Saccharomyces cerevisiae S288C: one gene and its partner. The gene in region 1 interacts genetically with each later gene. Each region holds a gene or a part of one and is shown in the gene's direction. Other genes may lie near its edges.

Evidence for each region. Genes that interact genetically often act in the same process or in processes that back each other up.
Region 2: mutations in RTN2 (region 1) and YOP1 impair growth when combined (synthetic growth defect), as found in Saccharomyces cerevisiae (one study listed by BioGRID).

What each region holds. Positions count from the first base shown.
Region 1 is NC_001136.10:89,855-98,383, forward strand, and holds RTN2 (Rtn2p), read left to right. Parts: upstream 1-4,750; coding exon 4,751-5,932; downstream 5,933-8,529. Other genes in the region: nucleoporin GLE1, read left to right, coding at 1-10; YCX1 (Ycx1p), read left to right, coding at 322-2,610; HEM3 (hydroxymethylbilane synthase), read right to left, coding at 2,908-3,891; YDL204W-A (uncharacterized protein), read left to right, coding at 4,279-4,431; ACK1 (Ack1p), read right to left, coding at 6,228-8,099.
Region 2 is NC_001148.4:620,473-627,013, forward strand, and holds YOP1 (Yop1p), read left to right. Parts: upstream 1-3,054; coding exon 3,055-3,105; intron 3,106-3,238; coding exon 3,239-3,730; downstream 3,731-6,541. Other genes in the region: YPR027C (uncharacterized protein), read right to left, coding at 1-786; APL4 (AP-1 complex subunit gamma), read right to left, coding at 3,997-6,495. UniProt on the Saccharomyces cerevisiae protein: Required to generate and maintain the structure of the tubular endoplasmic reticulum network and the vacuole. Induces high curvature in membranes and causes membrane tubule formation. Involved in membrane/vesicle trafficking.

The sequences.
Region 1 (8,529 bases):
GTCTCCTTAGAAAATTCTGAACTTATATATGCACATTATGCTAATACACTTTATAATGACTTTATTTTAAACGTCGCCATTTTTAGTTTTATTTTCGGCTCGATATCAAGGGATGGCAGAAAATACGTCATGAATATTAAGCCGTAAGTGGGAAAAGTTAAGACAATCTCCCACTCAAATATACGTACGTGAAATTGACATTTGAACTACCGCTCATAATATCTTATTCGATCAAGCAGAATATTCATTCTTTTTCCGGCGCCTATCTCCTTACCTTTATTTGTAAATGCTACTCTTCATTTATCAAATTTTTTAAAGCAGATGCATAAACCTTTAAGATGGCTAATAACGATAGCCTTCTACGTTTCGAACGTTATATTAATAGGCTATTCCCTTTCTAGTAATGGCTCAATATCTGAATTTTATCTGCATTCTGTTGTACTTATTGAATGCTTCTCTTTACTAGGAGTGGTTACCTCTGACTGCTTAACACCATCTTTGTCATACATTTCCAGTAACATATTCCATATTTCCGATAGAGTATCCGGCATGACTTTATTAGCATTGGGGAATGCACTTCCTGATATTACTAGTACTTACCAGTCGATGAAATCTGGCGTGACTTCCTTGGCCATTGGTGAGTTATTTGGTGGCATATTTTTTCTGTTAACCGTTGTGATTGGACTAATGGGCTGCGTAGCCACTATTCAATTTCAACATGACAAGTCTATTGAAACTTACACAGAAGAAAGCTTTGACCAAAATTTATCGTATGATAGAAGCAATTATATATTGGATGTCGGAATATTCACTTTTATGCTCTTAGTTTCGGGCACTTTTCTAGCAGATGGAAGACTGTACTTTTGGGAGTGTATTGTCATGGTTTTAACCTACTGCTGTTGTGCTGTCTATTTAATAAAAAGCTACAAATATCCCTGCGAAATCAATGATGCTTTAGAAAGAGAGGTAGAAATAAAAAAAACTGTACTTGCAAATAATCATATCACTGTTCCAAATCGATTTACATTAACGACTACCAGTGACATTACATCCACAGACGATGGAATAAGATATGTAAGGCCTTTGGGGGATACACAGATTGATGAGGACAACGCTATTAGTTTAGATCCAACTCGTTTACCAAGTAAATCCCTGGATAACATTTCGAGATTTAATCAAGGTATACCTGAAAGAAGGGATTTAATAAGACGTAGAATACGGGGATATTTACGGTCGCATTATCATGGCTGGGTAAGAATGACGTTACAAGATCTTTTGAATATATGGGAGAAGCAGAATCTTTTTAACAATACAGTAAAATCGTTGTCTTTACCCTCCGATGATACTCATTTATTTACTAAAGCTTCTTTAGATGAAGAAGGGAGGCCTTTAATAAGAAAAAGGATGAATTCATTACAACCTAAGGATTTTTACAAATATTTGTCCCTACGGAATGGGGAAAATTCAAATGCGCTGGATACTGCAATCTCTGCTCCCCAAAACGAGTATCAAACTTACTATAATGAACCCACAAGTTTGTTTTTGACTGTGCCACAAAAAAAAACCTCCAAGAAATCATTAAGCTGCGATCGCATTCCAAACTTGGTCCGGAGTAATAATATTATATTAAATGACGAGGCTACACGTACACAGGAATCTACCAATGCCTTGAACAGCATATCAGATGTTATCGACAACTCTCTCTTACAGTATGAGAGAGATGATATAATTCTCGATAGAACACTATCTCTCTGTTCAACAAAGAGTAGAACCGCTTGGCATAGTTTCCAACTTTACAATTACTTAACAGATGTGTCCTTGGAAATTGGTTTCTTTGAGTTCTTGTCATTATTAGTCACTACGCCGGTATCAATAATTCTTTATCTTTCAATACCATCAGAGATAAGTCAAACAGACCATGACTTACCCCTTTCATACCTACAGAATATTCAATTGATTGCTTCGCCAATAATTCTCAACCAACTCATCACAAATAACTTTTCATTTTGGTTGCTCATCTTATCGCTGGTGATAGCCATCTTATTATATTTTAAAACTAGGACCATACCGAACAAGTTCAACTCTGATATAATCTTTACAGTAGCATTTTTATTGTCATTGGCCTGTCTTTCGAAAGCTGTCCACATAATTGTAGTCACGTTAACGCATTGGATAAATGTGTTTAATATATCGGAAACAATACTAGGTTTAACCATTTTTACATGGGGTAATTCGATTGGTGATTTAGTGTCAAATATTACATTCGTCAAAATAGGTGTTTTAGAAATCGCGATAGGAGCTTGTTTTGGCAGTCCACTTTTATATTTCTTATTTGGCGTCGGATTTGATGGAATTATGATAATGCTAGGCGACAAAACTGGAAAAATAGTGAGTGGCAGAGATAGTAATATTTTAATGCATCATATTGATTTTAAAGTGGATAAAAACTTAATCAATACTGGAGTCGGAATTCTGATCGCGTTTTTGATATTTACGGTTTTGATACCATTAAACGACTGGAAAATTGACAAGAAGATTAGTATTGCACTTCTTACGTTGTATATAGTTGTCACATGTATTAGTGTTTTTTTAGAAGTTCACCAAGTGTAATTTAATAAATCAAGATTTCATTTTTTATATACAAGCTATAATAAATATATTAACAACGAAGCTTGTATGAATAGTATAAAATAAACAAAGGTAGGAATTACATATTCTAATTGACAAAATATTTATGCAGTGGTCATTTGAAAATGGTCATTAAATTAAACAAGTAATATGAGAGGAATGAGAGGGAAATAAATAACTGAAAGATAAAGGAGATAAGGAAAAAAAAAAAAAAAAAAAAAAAAAAGGGAACTTTAGTTAGTAATAATAGAGTTTTTGGACTGATCAAATTAATGGTGTTCATTTGATTCTGTCTAAATTAATTTCATCCAGAATTTTCTTTGCGCCATCGGCAATCATTCTTTCAGCTAGTATCTTACCACACGCCATGGAATCTTCTTTAACATTTTCTATTAGCATTTCAATTTCGTCTTCTACTGCTTCTGTGCCTTCAACGTCAACTACAATGGCCTTTAATAGTAATTTTTTAGTCTCTTCATTGTATTTAGATTCCACACCAATAGGAACGGAACAACCCCCCTCTAAAGTTCTCATCAAAGCACGCTCCGAAAGGCAACATATAGTTGCATTTAGATCGCAAATTTCGTCAAGAATCTTCATCATCTTGGTGTCACCCTTTCTAATTTCTATACCCAGGGCGCCTTGTCCAACTGCATGGTACATTGTATCCGAATGGAATCGCTGCGTAATTCTGTTTTCCAACCCCATACGCATCAACCCAGCAGACGCCAAGATGATGCATTGGTACGGAGATTTTGGGTCGTCTAGTTTTTGTAATCTAGTTTGTATATTTCCTCTGACACTTTCAAATTTCAAATGTGGGTATTTTCTTTTTAGCTGAGCAGATCTTCTCACGGATGAGGTTCCCACAATCCCCCCGTCTGGAAGGTCATCCAGAGACTTATAAGCAGAGTAAAAGGGCATGACAAGACAATCTGTTGGATCGACCCGCTTAGTGATACCCCCCAGCTCGAAACCCTCTGGTAGTAAAGTGGGCATGTCCTTCAGAGAATGAACGATCAAGTCAAGCTTCTTTGAGGGATCGTCATGGTAAAGATGGTCTTCCAACTCCTTTGTCCATAAAGCTTTACCGCCAAATGAGTACAAAGGTTTGAATTGAATCTGGTCACCAAGAGTTTGCAAAGTGAAAACCTTGCAGTCGTAGTCCGGATACTTTTCTTCGATCAGTTTTAAAACATGGTTGGATTGTATTACCGCCAATTTCGATTTTCTCCCACCAATATGTAGAGTTTCAGGGCCCATAGTACGTGTGTATTTACCAACTACAAATTTATCTAGATTTTCTTCGCTTTTCTTTTTTTCTATTGTTCTAGATATTAATACGGGATGAGAAGAACAGAATATTCAAAATCTAATACAGCCCTGTACCATGCAAACACGAGCGTCAATCTGCCAATGACCTTGAATTCAGGCTATGTGTAGCAATAATACAGATAGTTAGTAGCCTCGTTTATATAAAGCGTTCCTTTACTTTTTCATTTTCTTTCTTTTTTTATGTTTGATTTTTTTACTTTTTCACTTTAAAAAATTGCTGAAATTTTCGTAGCCAAAAAAAAGACCTTCATTGCTTACTCATCGGTTTCTTATTGGTCAGACGCTCCCCAGGGTCAATTGACAAGGAGAGAAGGAATGTTATATGGGAATTGCTGCGTAAAGATGGTCAAAAATCCTGGACTGCCGTACGAACGACAATGTAAGGATGACTGCATTAGCCAGAAAGACATCTTTACCCCCGGTGCTGCCAGGGAGCAAAATAATTACGAAAAGTGGACGCAAAGTTAACTTAAACTACAAGGGTAGCAGCAGAATGTGTCGGTGGTACCGGTGTGATAATGCCCCATTTGAGATGCTTGTAATTGTGGCCTAGCAATAAGAACGCAAGGCGTTTTTGTTGAAAGGAGAACAAGGTTAGACGGTGACGTTTAGGCGCATAGGCAATCTCCCCTTATTGTTCACCCTTATTTCCACCCTCAAACGATAAAGCTTGCTACTTTGATGAAAAAAATATATAAAAGGGATTGAAAAGCAGATCAATTATGTAGCAATAGTAGTAATAACTTGTTCAATTGCTTGTCTCAACTTGCCACAAACTATCATCAACATGAATAGGAATACGACTACCAATAAGAACGCGAATTTGAATAACAGTAGAAATGCTAACGCTCCCGGTGAAGCAGGTCATCAGAACAAGACGGGATTGATATACTGGACTAACCCTAGCAAGTCGGGTGCGAGCTTTGCTGCGACTCTGGTGAGTTTGCTGATCCTCAGAAATGTCAATGTTATTTCTGTTTTACTTAAGATCGGATACATGGTGTTGTTCACGAGTTTTGCGGTGGAGCTTTCTACAAAGGTGCTATTTGATAAAGGAGTAGTGTCTAGGTTTGGCATGCAAGAGTCTCCGGACCTTGTTGGCGTCTTAAAGCCTCATATCGACCGCGAATTGGATCGTCTGCCTGCGTTAGAGGACAGAATCAGAAAGTTAGTGTTTGCACACAGAACAAGAAACAATTTTACCATTGGTGTTTCCCTCTATTTCTTGCACGGCCTATTTGCTATATTCTCTATGAACACTGTTTTGATAATGACCACCATCTTTTTGTACACTGTGCCTTTAATCTACGATAGAAAGCAGGCTAGAATTGACCGTGCTATCGACAGGATGAAGGATCTAGTTATTCATAGGTTTCACAAAAATTACAACAAGGTGGTTGAAAAGACTGAACCATACATTGACAAGATTATCCCACCCCAAACCGATGAAGGCAGCTACTCAACCTCTATCAGTAACGAAAACAAATCTTCTACTTCTCAACGTAACAAGAGCGGCCTTTCCTCTTCTGAGTTTGACAACATGAACGACACGTCAGCCTCCAAAAGTGGCAAAGACAGCTATTCTACCTCTCAATATAACCGAGCCGAATATCCAGTTTCTCAGAATGAGAATATTGGCACCTTAAAATCTGGGAAGCAGGAAATACCAACAGAGAAGGATTTCAACAACAGGCATGAAAACTTCAGTAAACCAGATGTCAAGACATATGATCCAAGAACAGTTGATATTGAAGAAGAATTAGCAGCTCATCAGCGTGAACTGGAGCAAAACCTAAAAGATGGTGATTACAATCTGGTAGGAAGCAAGGAAATCCCAGATCCAATCACCGTTCCAGCTCCAACTAGACACACCACTAAACCCGCCGAAAGCCAATCGATTCCCATCAAGAATAATGAAACCTTACACAAAACCACGCACGGCCTAAAGCAAAAATTGCAACACGCATAATCTAGTTTTTTTTTTTTTCTCTCTTCTTTCTAGCTAGTAGTTCATTTCCTTTTCTTTTTTTCAAAGAGGTCATATTTATCACCAACTATATATTTTTTTGAAGAAAAGATATCATTACAACGATAAGTAGTTACAATATTTTTTTTATTTAGTTTAAAATAATGAGTAAATGACGTCGCATTTCTTCGCTTTTGTTATTTTTATTCTCCTCTCATTTTTGAGGAGAATGTTACAATATTTTACTAATGTCCTGAATAATATTTGATTTATGGCATAATAAAGAAATGCGAATTCGTTAATTTGTCAAACTTCGAAGAGCATCAACTGCCTTCCTGAATCCCATTCTTGCAGCCCTCTGATAATATTGTTTGGCCAGATCCAAATCAACTTCACAACCGACACCTTTTTCGTAATAAAATCCTAAGGCAAATTCAGTGCGGGCTAATTTACCGTCTGAACACTTGCTGCTCTTCAAGGCCCAGTTGAATGCCTCTTTATTGTTTGGTTTCAAAATATTTGGTGCTCCCGTTAAGTACCATCCACTTAAGGATAACATTGCCATCGGATTCCCCTTCGGCTGAGCAGCAGCAGCTTTGGAATACCAATATATGGATTTTTTGGCCACCACTGGCAACCCTAGGTCTCCAAACTCATAACAATTTCCTAATTTCCATTGCGCTAAAGGGTACTCAAAATCTTTGGCACATTGTTGGTAGTATTTTATTGCCAGTTGAGAGTCTTTTCGTATGCCGTTCGCAAATAATAGGTTCTGGATTTCTGGCGGCAAAACACTGAATTCATATATTTTACCTAACTCATATAATGTTTGTGGAGAGTCACCCTTTTGGGCAGCTTTATCAAACCATTTAATAGCTAGCAATACATCAGTCTTTTGCATGTTCAGACCGTATAAATGGCTCATCCCTAATTTATACATACACGCAGAATTTGAACAAACTTCTGCGCCATGCTGGTAGTATTGGAAGGCCTTTTTTATGCATTGTTCTTTGGTTGGTGATGGATCCAAAGAAGAGGTGCCCCTTTGGTATTCAAAGCATACACCTGCACGGTAGCATGCATCTGAATTGTTCAATTTCGCAGCTTTACAATAATATTCCAGCGCCTTTTCATCATTTTTAATAACGATGTTTTTGTTCTTTATAGGTAAATAGGGTTGGTGTGAATACAGCGTCCCCATTAAATACATGGCAGGTGGCCATTTTAAAGTTATCAATTTTGTGAGCACCTTGAATGAATGTTCCAAAATGACTTTCTGGTTTTTGAGCATTTCCTCAGGCTTTAAGCTTCTTTTGAGCTTCTCCGCGTTTATGTTATATTGCGATATGAAATCCTCATTAAAGGCATATGTAAGTAATGTTTCACACCATTGCATTTGTATCTCGGGGGTGAATTTTGAAGAGTCAGTAATTGTCTTCTTGTACACTTGATAGAAAGCCAATGCCTCTGGTGAATAGGAAGACAGTTTGTCCTCACCACCTGAGGACCCATTATCGTCTGTCTTCGCGCTCCCAGTGGGTGGTTGGTTGATTTTTTGTGGTGGAACAGGATTATTATTCAAAGGTCGTATTGGAGCTTTTTCCTCGGTTCTGTAAACTTTTTCCTGCAGTATCCTAGATTCAGATTCCTCATAGGGTGGTGGCGCTGAGTTGTCCCTTACAGACTCTGATATTCGATTTCCACTGCTTATTGATGCATCTTGTACAGCTGGTGAACCCAAACTCTCTTTTGTAGAACTAAAATTGAAAGGAAGTTCATACCTACTACCAGTACTGTTGGTGCCATTATTGGCATATCCTATTTCACCTGTTGGCTTGGAATTAAAAATGTCCATGCCGTTATTACTATTTATGGTTACTGGAGTGCCTAATTGACCACCATCAGCATTCCCGTCTGTGAAATTCAGCGCACTCAAAGGCAGCGATAATGATGAGGAAGATGAAGGGGATGTAAAAGGAATAGCTGGTGTGAGTTCAACGATAGAGTCATCCACTGGATAGGGTGCAGGCACTATATTTTGAGCTGGCAAACCATGCCTATCCGAATTGGCATTTCCCAATTTATGCGAGGACTCCCGCGCCCTTGCTGGTGGAAACATGTTAATGTGTTTGTCATAGAGGTTAGGTTGCGGTTGGCCCTGATTAACCATTGCCTACTGTATTAAAACAAAGTATTAAAACGTGGTGGTACACTCTGTACAAAAGAATAGAAGGAAATGAAAAGAAAACGGAGTTAAAATCTACTTCATAAAAAGAGACGCTTCCAAATCCAGTCTCTACCACGTTCTTGTATATAATTTGAGCAACTCAAATTAAATTACCGGGATATCTGCTTATTCTACAAGCCATAGCATCCAGTGCTAAGGTTCATCTCAAGCCATCTTCAATACACTTGATAATTAGTCGTCAATTTTAAAATTAGGTTTCGTTCTTGAAGGCACTTAACCTAAGCTTTTTACTATATGACCTATTAAACAAGTCTTTTTCATAGTGTAACCTAACGTTTATACACTAATAACCCTAGGGCTTAGTAGAGATTCATACAGAAAAAAACGTAGAGTTATAGCAGTAAACTGAGAA
Region 2 (6,541 bases), on another chromosome or scaffold:
TTTTTCTCTCCCATGAGCAGTGAAGCCTACAGCAGAACCGTCCCAATTTTCGTCGGTGATTTTTTCTGAAATTTGATAAAGCTGAGACTTAAAATTACCTGATATTTTTCTAATGTTTGATATTTTCTGGAAAACGCCATTAGCAATTCCTTGGCTGTTTTCGTTTAAATTGCCCTGTATGTCCGATAATTTATAATTTGTGAACTCATTTGAAGCGCCTTTTGTATAACAAATCTGCTGGGCCAAGCCTGGGAAAGGCAGAGCCGTCTTCTCGCCAAGTTTGAGAATCAAACAGTTTTGGTTTAGTTCACTTCCTGAAGTATTCATATTTACTCCTAAGTATAGGTCGAGAGGTTCAAATGTTGTTTTGATTTTTTCATTCACATAATTTGAAGGTAGCTCGACGTATTTTGGTTTAATTAGGTCATATAACCTTTGCGGTTCATTGATACCATCATTTTCGAGCTTGTTGATAAGCTCGATGATTAATGAAAACATTAAGATTACAACTCCTAGCCCACAGGATATCATATTGGCCGGATTTTCACCTACAGAAAAACATGATACCATAGTTTGAATTACTTGAAGTGTTAGTTTAGTGTCATCCAGTTTCTTTTCACTAACAGATTTTGTAGCGGCAGGTGCAGGTGCAGTAGAAGTTGATGTCACCGTTTCATATACAGTTTTGATGATTGTAACAGTATCTATCATGTCATCATCATGGAATGCAAAAAGAAGACCCAGGAGTGGGACGAACGAAGCAAGTATTCTGTAAATACCAACCATTTCTTTTTATCTGGCGCTTTATATGTTTATGAATAGTACGTTATGATGATTGTTTTTTTACAAATGTTTGTGAATTACACTAATGGTAATTCCCTCTTTAGTTAGAAGTAATGGAAAATTAGTACTTTCTAATTCTTGTGATCAACGCTTTTTCAACGTTGCCATCATCAACAGAATCTCGATCTGCTAGCCAACATCAAAAAGTTGTTTGCCGCACATCATGTAACCGAACTTTCAGTACCACAAAAACTAATATGCACGGCGCTTGAAAAGTGCTTTAATTTTGTAAACTATTTTGTTTTGTAAATTTCTAGGCAGTTGAGGCTACCGTCGTGACCACAGAAAGAAAACATCTTCAAAACACTTTAGTGACTGTCCATATAGCCGCCGAAGTTAGTCGCTGATATAATTTGAAACCTACATTATTATTTGTTCGTTTGGAAGACACGTTAGGTTTAGTATCAATAAACTTCCCATCCGAAACACTTATTCTACTAGTGTGTTTCATAATGCGTAAGCCAGCACGTATATATTCATCTCAATTTGTTACACACTTAACATACTATATAATTCCTGAGAAAATGCCCAGCTCATAAACATCGGTAGTCCAATTCAAGAACGGGGGAACTGAATTTGGGAGTAATCAAAAAAAAAAAAAGACGTTACTTCATCGTTTTTGTTGTCATTGTACACTTCTTTCATTTCTTTTCAGATTTAACTTCTCTGTCCGTAGTCGGCAAATAACGGTCCTTTAAATGCAAGGGATCATCAAGAGATTTTGAAAAACTGTGGAGCCAGATATTTATTTGTCAACTTTGGACATCTACCTTAGTCTGTCTGCTTCCCTCTTTTTGACCTCTTTTAGTAAACTCTGAGGTGGGATGACTGACTCTGACGGAGAAAGTATGTAGATATCTCAAGAAAGTATCAGTCCACGATATAGTAGGAAATATTATACAATACGTAATGGAAGCAAAGTGTGCTTCCATGAGTTTTAGACAAATTTATGTCCCTAAAACTTCGAACTTTTAACGGGAACAATTTTGGCCGTGATAAATTCTTTTCCAACGCTTATATTGATTATCCGTTATTGGTTTTTTGTTGGAGACATTAAAAGATGGCCAATGGCGTAAGAAAATTTTGAAAAAAAGTCAGACATTCAAGTTGAAAAACTCCTTCATCTTCCTACTTGAGTCTATATTTTCATTGATATTTCCATAAGAGAAGGAGCAGTCAAGTTCAAGAACCAACTTTCCGCAGTTGGCAGGTCGAAAAAATAAATGCGAATTCTGTGGATCGAACACAGGACCTCCAGATAACTTGACCGAAGTTTTTTCTTCAGTCTGGCGCTCTCCCAACTGAGCTAAATCCGCATATCAGAATGAAATAAACAAGCATTCTTGTGCTTTATAAATGGTCCAAGCGTCTAACTTTTAAAGAGTACATTCTAAAAGTAAGAGACGAAGACAACATTATAATAATTTTCTCAAGACATATATGTTTCACCGGCACGTTTTGTTTTGTCCCCTTTTATTTTGAGCCTGAATACTATGCTTTATAAAACTTTAATGCGCTCAACAAGTGCACCTTCCAACGGAAAAAAAGAAATTCAACAGGGAGCGATGCCATCATCACATGCACGTTTTCAAGTATTTATAAGACTTGCTACTTGCTCGTCCATTCATGACTTTAATGAGGTTCTAATTTATTGGTGCAACTCTTCAAACTAGCTGCCCAATCAGTGCTGGAATGAGTGCCAAGACAAGCGACAAACCCTGTCAATCTCCTGAAAAACAAAAATTAAGTGCTTGAGAAGACCTTCAGAAGAGTTGCATAGATAGGATGGGTGAGCGCAATTACTAGTTACGCAGTAAGTAGGTTATATGGCTGCTGGAGGGGCAGTACTGATTTAATCACAATCCGGATTAAACTTCCTCCTGAAAAAAAAAAAACTACATCAAGTCAAAAGATTTTCATTCACTCTTTGGAAGGCTGTGTGGCATTCTAACCTTTATTTTTTTATCACCATTCTCGAATTTTCGTGGTTCGCTTTCTTAGCGCCGTTATTCTCTCTTCTTGTCCACGTCAAAGGGAGTATGCGTAACCCCTTTCAAGGTTGAACGAAAAAAAAAAAAATATGTCCTTCAAAATTTTTTTTGATTTAAAACTAAAAAACATTCCCTTGAAGCTTGTTATTCCGAAAGAAAGAATCTAAAATTGCAATTGGTAGTGAAAACAAATAAACAAAGACATAACCGCACTCCAATCATGTCCGAATATGCATCTAGTATTCACTCTCAAATGAAACAATTCGATACCGTATGTAAGATGGTTTTATTGGTTCCATCGTCATCATGGTTCAAACAGCCAAATGACCCGACACACGTAACCGAAGCAGTTATACTAACAAGAAAGCTAATTTTCACCCTCCTTGCTACATTTTTTTCTACAGAAGTACTCTGGTAATAGAATTTTACAGCAATTAGAAAATAAAACTAATTTGCCTAAATCTTATTTAGTTGCTGGTTTAGGTTTCGCTTATCTCCTTTTGATTTTTATTAACGTCGGAGGTGTAGGTGAAATTCTTTCCAATTTTGCTGGGTTTGTGTTGCCAGCATATTTATCGTTGGTTGCTTTGAAGACACCAACGTCCACCGATGACACACAACTCTTGACCTACTGGATTGTCTTTTCATTTTTGAGTGTCATTGAATTCTGGTCCAAGGCAATTCTATATTTGATTCCATTCTACTGGTTTTTGAAAACCGTTTTCTTAATCTACATTGCCTTGCCTCAAACTGGTGGCGCTAGAATGATCTATCAAAAGATCGTAGCCCCATTGACCGACAGATATATCCTAAGAGATGTTAGCAAGACAGAAAAGGATGAAATTAGAGCTTCCGTCAATGAGGCTTCTAAGGCTACAGGTGCTTCTGTTCATTAAGAGGCAACTCACCTATATCCTCAAATCAAACTCTCGTTTTTGTTCTCTTTGTTATCTATTCTATTGAGAGCATATAAGTACATATGTTATTAGTTGTTATATATCGCTACTTAACATATAAAATATTTTGGAGTCGTTTATGGTGTCCCAGAAGATAGCATTTCTATTCATCGTGTTGTGTCGTGACGTGTCTCTTGATATGCGCGACAGACCATCCAACGCAAGGTCATTAATCATGTTATGTTCTGTAATTTTAAAGGCATTTTTTATAGAGTTTCATCGAATTTGTGATCGAACTGTTCATTGGTGATAGATGAAGAGCCATTTAAATGAAAATCCAACTTAACTCTTAACTTCAGTTTCCCAGATCCAGAAATTTTCAATGACTGCTTGCAAATTTGGCTGGCGTTTATTGTGGAAGATGGATATAACTGGCCTAGTGTTAGCTTTTGAGCTTTAGGAACGGCACAGAAAGTTTTTAAGTCAGATATTAAAGACTTTGCCTGAAAATATAAATCCAAATGTGCTAATCCAGAGTTTGCAGAGAGCAAGGAAGCATATACATTCAGTGAGGAACTGTCATATATCTTGTTGGCATCCAATGGTAAGGTGACACCTGAGTTTGCCTCCACTGCCGACGAATGATTGATTGATTCTTCCTTGTTCGCATTTTTGGGCACCTGAGCAATGTCATTCTTCTCTCCAAAAATCTCTTCTAATATGTCAATTGGTTTCACATTGTCACCAGTAGAAGCCTTGCTTTCAGCCTTGCTATCCTCACCCAATAAATCTGACAGCAGATCAACTGGTTCGTTGGAGATAAGGTTTTTCGATAGAGCTTTTCCATTATCCTGTTCCTCGGTAATTTTTTCAAATTTAGGCATTGTTTCTAAAATGATCTTCTTCACAGAAATTGACTGATTGAAAAATATCTCGTATTGATTGCTTTTCATTTGCAGTGATAAATCAGTGGAATCCGTGTAGCTCAATATCAGTTGTCTTAGTTTTTCAATATTTTTCGCGTCATGGAACCTCACAGATAATTTTAATGCTGCTGTTAAAATGTAATTGATTATCTTCAGATTCGTTGCTGTGTAGAGTTCTTGCAAAGTTAGTAAGTAATCAGTAATAGATGACTCATTGATTATGTCTGCACCATTTTTATTGCCCTCGTTGAGTACTAAATCGCCATATTCGCCAATGCACCAAATCAAAACCAACTGCCAACCAATATTTTCCTCGGAAATCTCCGCTGATGTTCCATTTAGTGAAATTGTCAGCATTTTCCGTAAAAATTCAGATTTGTCGGATAACTGGCTCGTATTATTTATTATGATTAGAATATCATTAATTTTTTCATAGTTGATAAACGATCCCACTAATTTTAAGATATTAAAGAAAACATCTAATTTCCAGCTTTCATCTTTGACAACGCGGGTATCAAAAGTGTCAATTAAGTGATCTATAGTGTATATTATGAGATCTTTTGAATCTTCATCCTGTTTTGCCAAAAATTTCATCAATTCGTTAACCAATTCCACTAAATTTGAATCGTCCAAGATGGCGAAGCTCAACTCTAACGCTCTCATGCGGATCGACACATCGGTATCCTGCAGACAATGAGAAATGAATTTTCTATGCCTTTGTACTGCGGTAGGCTCTTGGGGAACAACTTTTAATAAGGTGTTTAATGAAACGTATTTAGTATTATTATCTTTTCCTGCAAGAAACTTGGCCAAGATGTTAATACCAAGGACACGTAGAGGCTGGTTCAAATCCAACGAAAAGATCGTCTTCACGGTCTCATAAAGAATGGCCTGTCCGCTGTTTTTCGTTGAATCCGTATTCGTCGCAATACGAGTCAATAAATCGCAGAAATTATCTTTGTAGTCCAAAACATTGTTCGAATTTAAGAGCTCACCAACTTGAAAGTATAGTTTTAAAGTGTAAATTATTTCACACTGCAGAAATGGGTCACAAATACCTTGGACATCATATCCAGGTTCAATATTTTTAGAATTCATATTTTCCAAACGAATGAAAAAATCACGCAAAAGTAAAGATAATGGAGACAAGATGTCATTGCTGTAATCAATACCGTCTTCATCTTCATCCTCATCTTTTTTTCTGTTCAATCCAATTAACAAAATAGATTGTATGATTTTCGTAACGCCTAAAAGTACACCGTGAGTACATATTGAATGACTAGACAATATCTTAGTAATGTCTTCGATGTTGAAGATTTCTAAAAGTGAAACGTCTTTGAAAATTAGTTTGGCAGCACATTGAAGCGCTTTTTTCAAGAGGAAAGGGTCTCTTGAATTTTTGATGATATTTTCGACGTCTGGGTATAAATCTCTGGCTAATTCAGGGGAGCTCAAAAAGCCTAATGAGGTTAGTGCAAGTGACACTGCATATTTGTTGGGATGATGCAAATCGTTGTTCAACATGTTCGTTAAGAGTGTCAATAAATCTTCAGATTCGTCCAACAATAAAGTTGCGGCCAGATAGCCTAATCTTTTATCGACAAAATCGTCAGAAGCAATTAAATTGATAGACTCCACCTGACCGAAATGTGTCTTTTCCCCTAGAATGTATAGATACAGAAGTTTCTGGATATTTACTCGCCTTTTTTCATGTGGTAGATGGTCATCTCTCAATTTTGTCCTAATTTTAGCAGATTGTTTCGTTATAATTGCCCTTTCATCTGCCAGTGTTTTGGCACCACGAACGTCTTTGATAAAGCTTCTCAACGAAGAGCCCATTATGGTGTTCAGGTCTTTCTCGTTGCTAAATCAAGATGGTCAATAT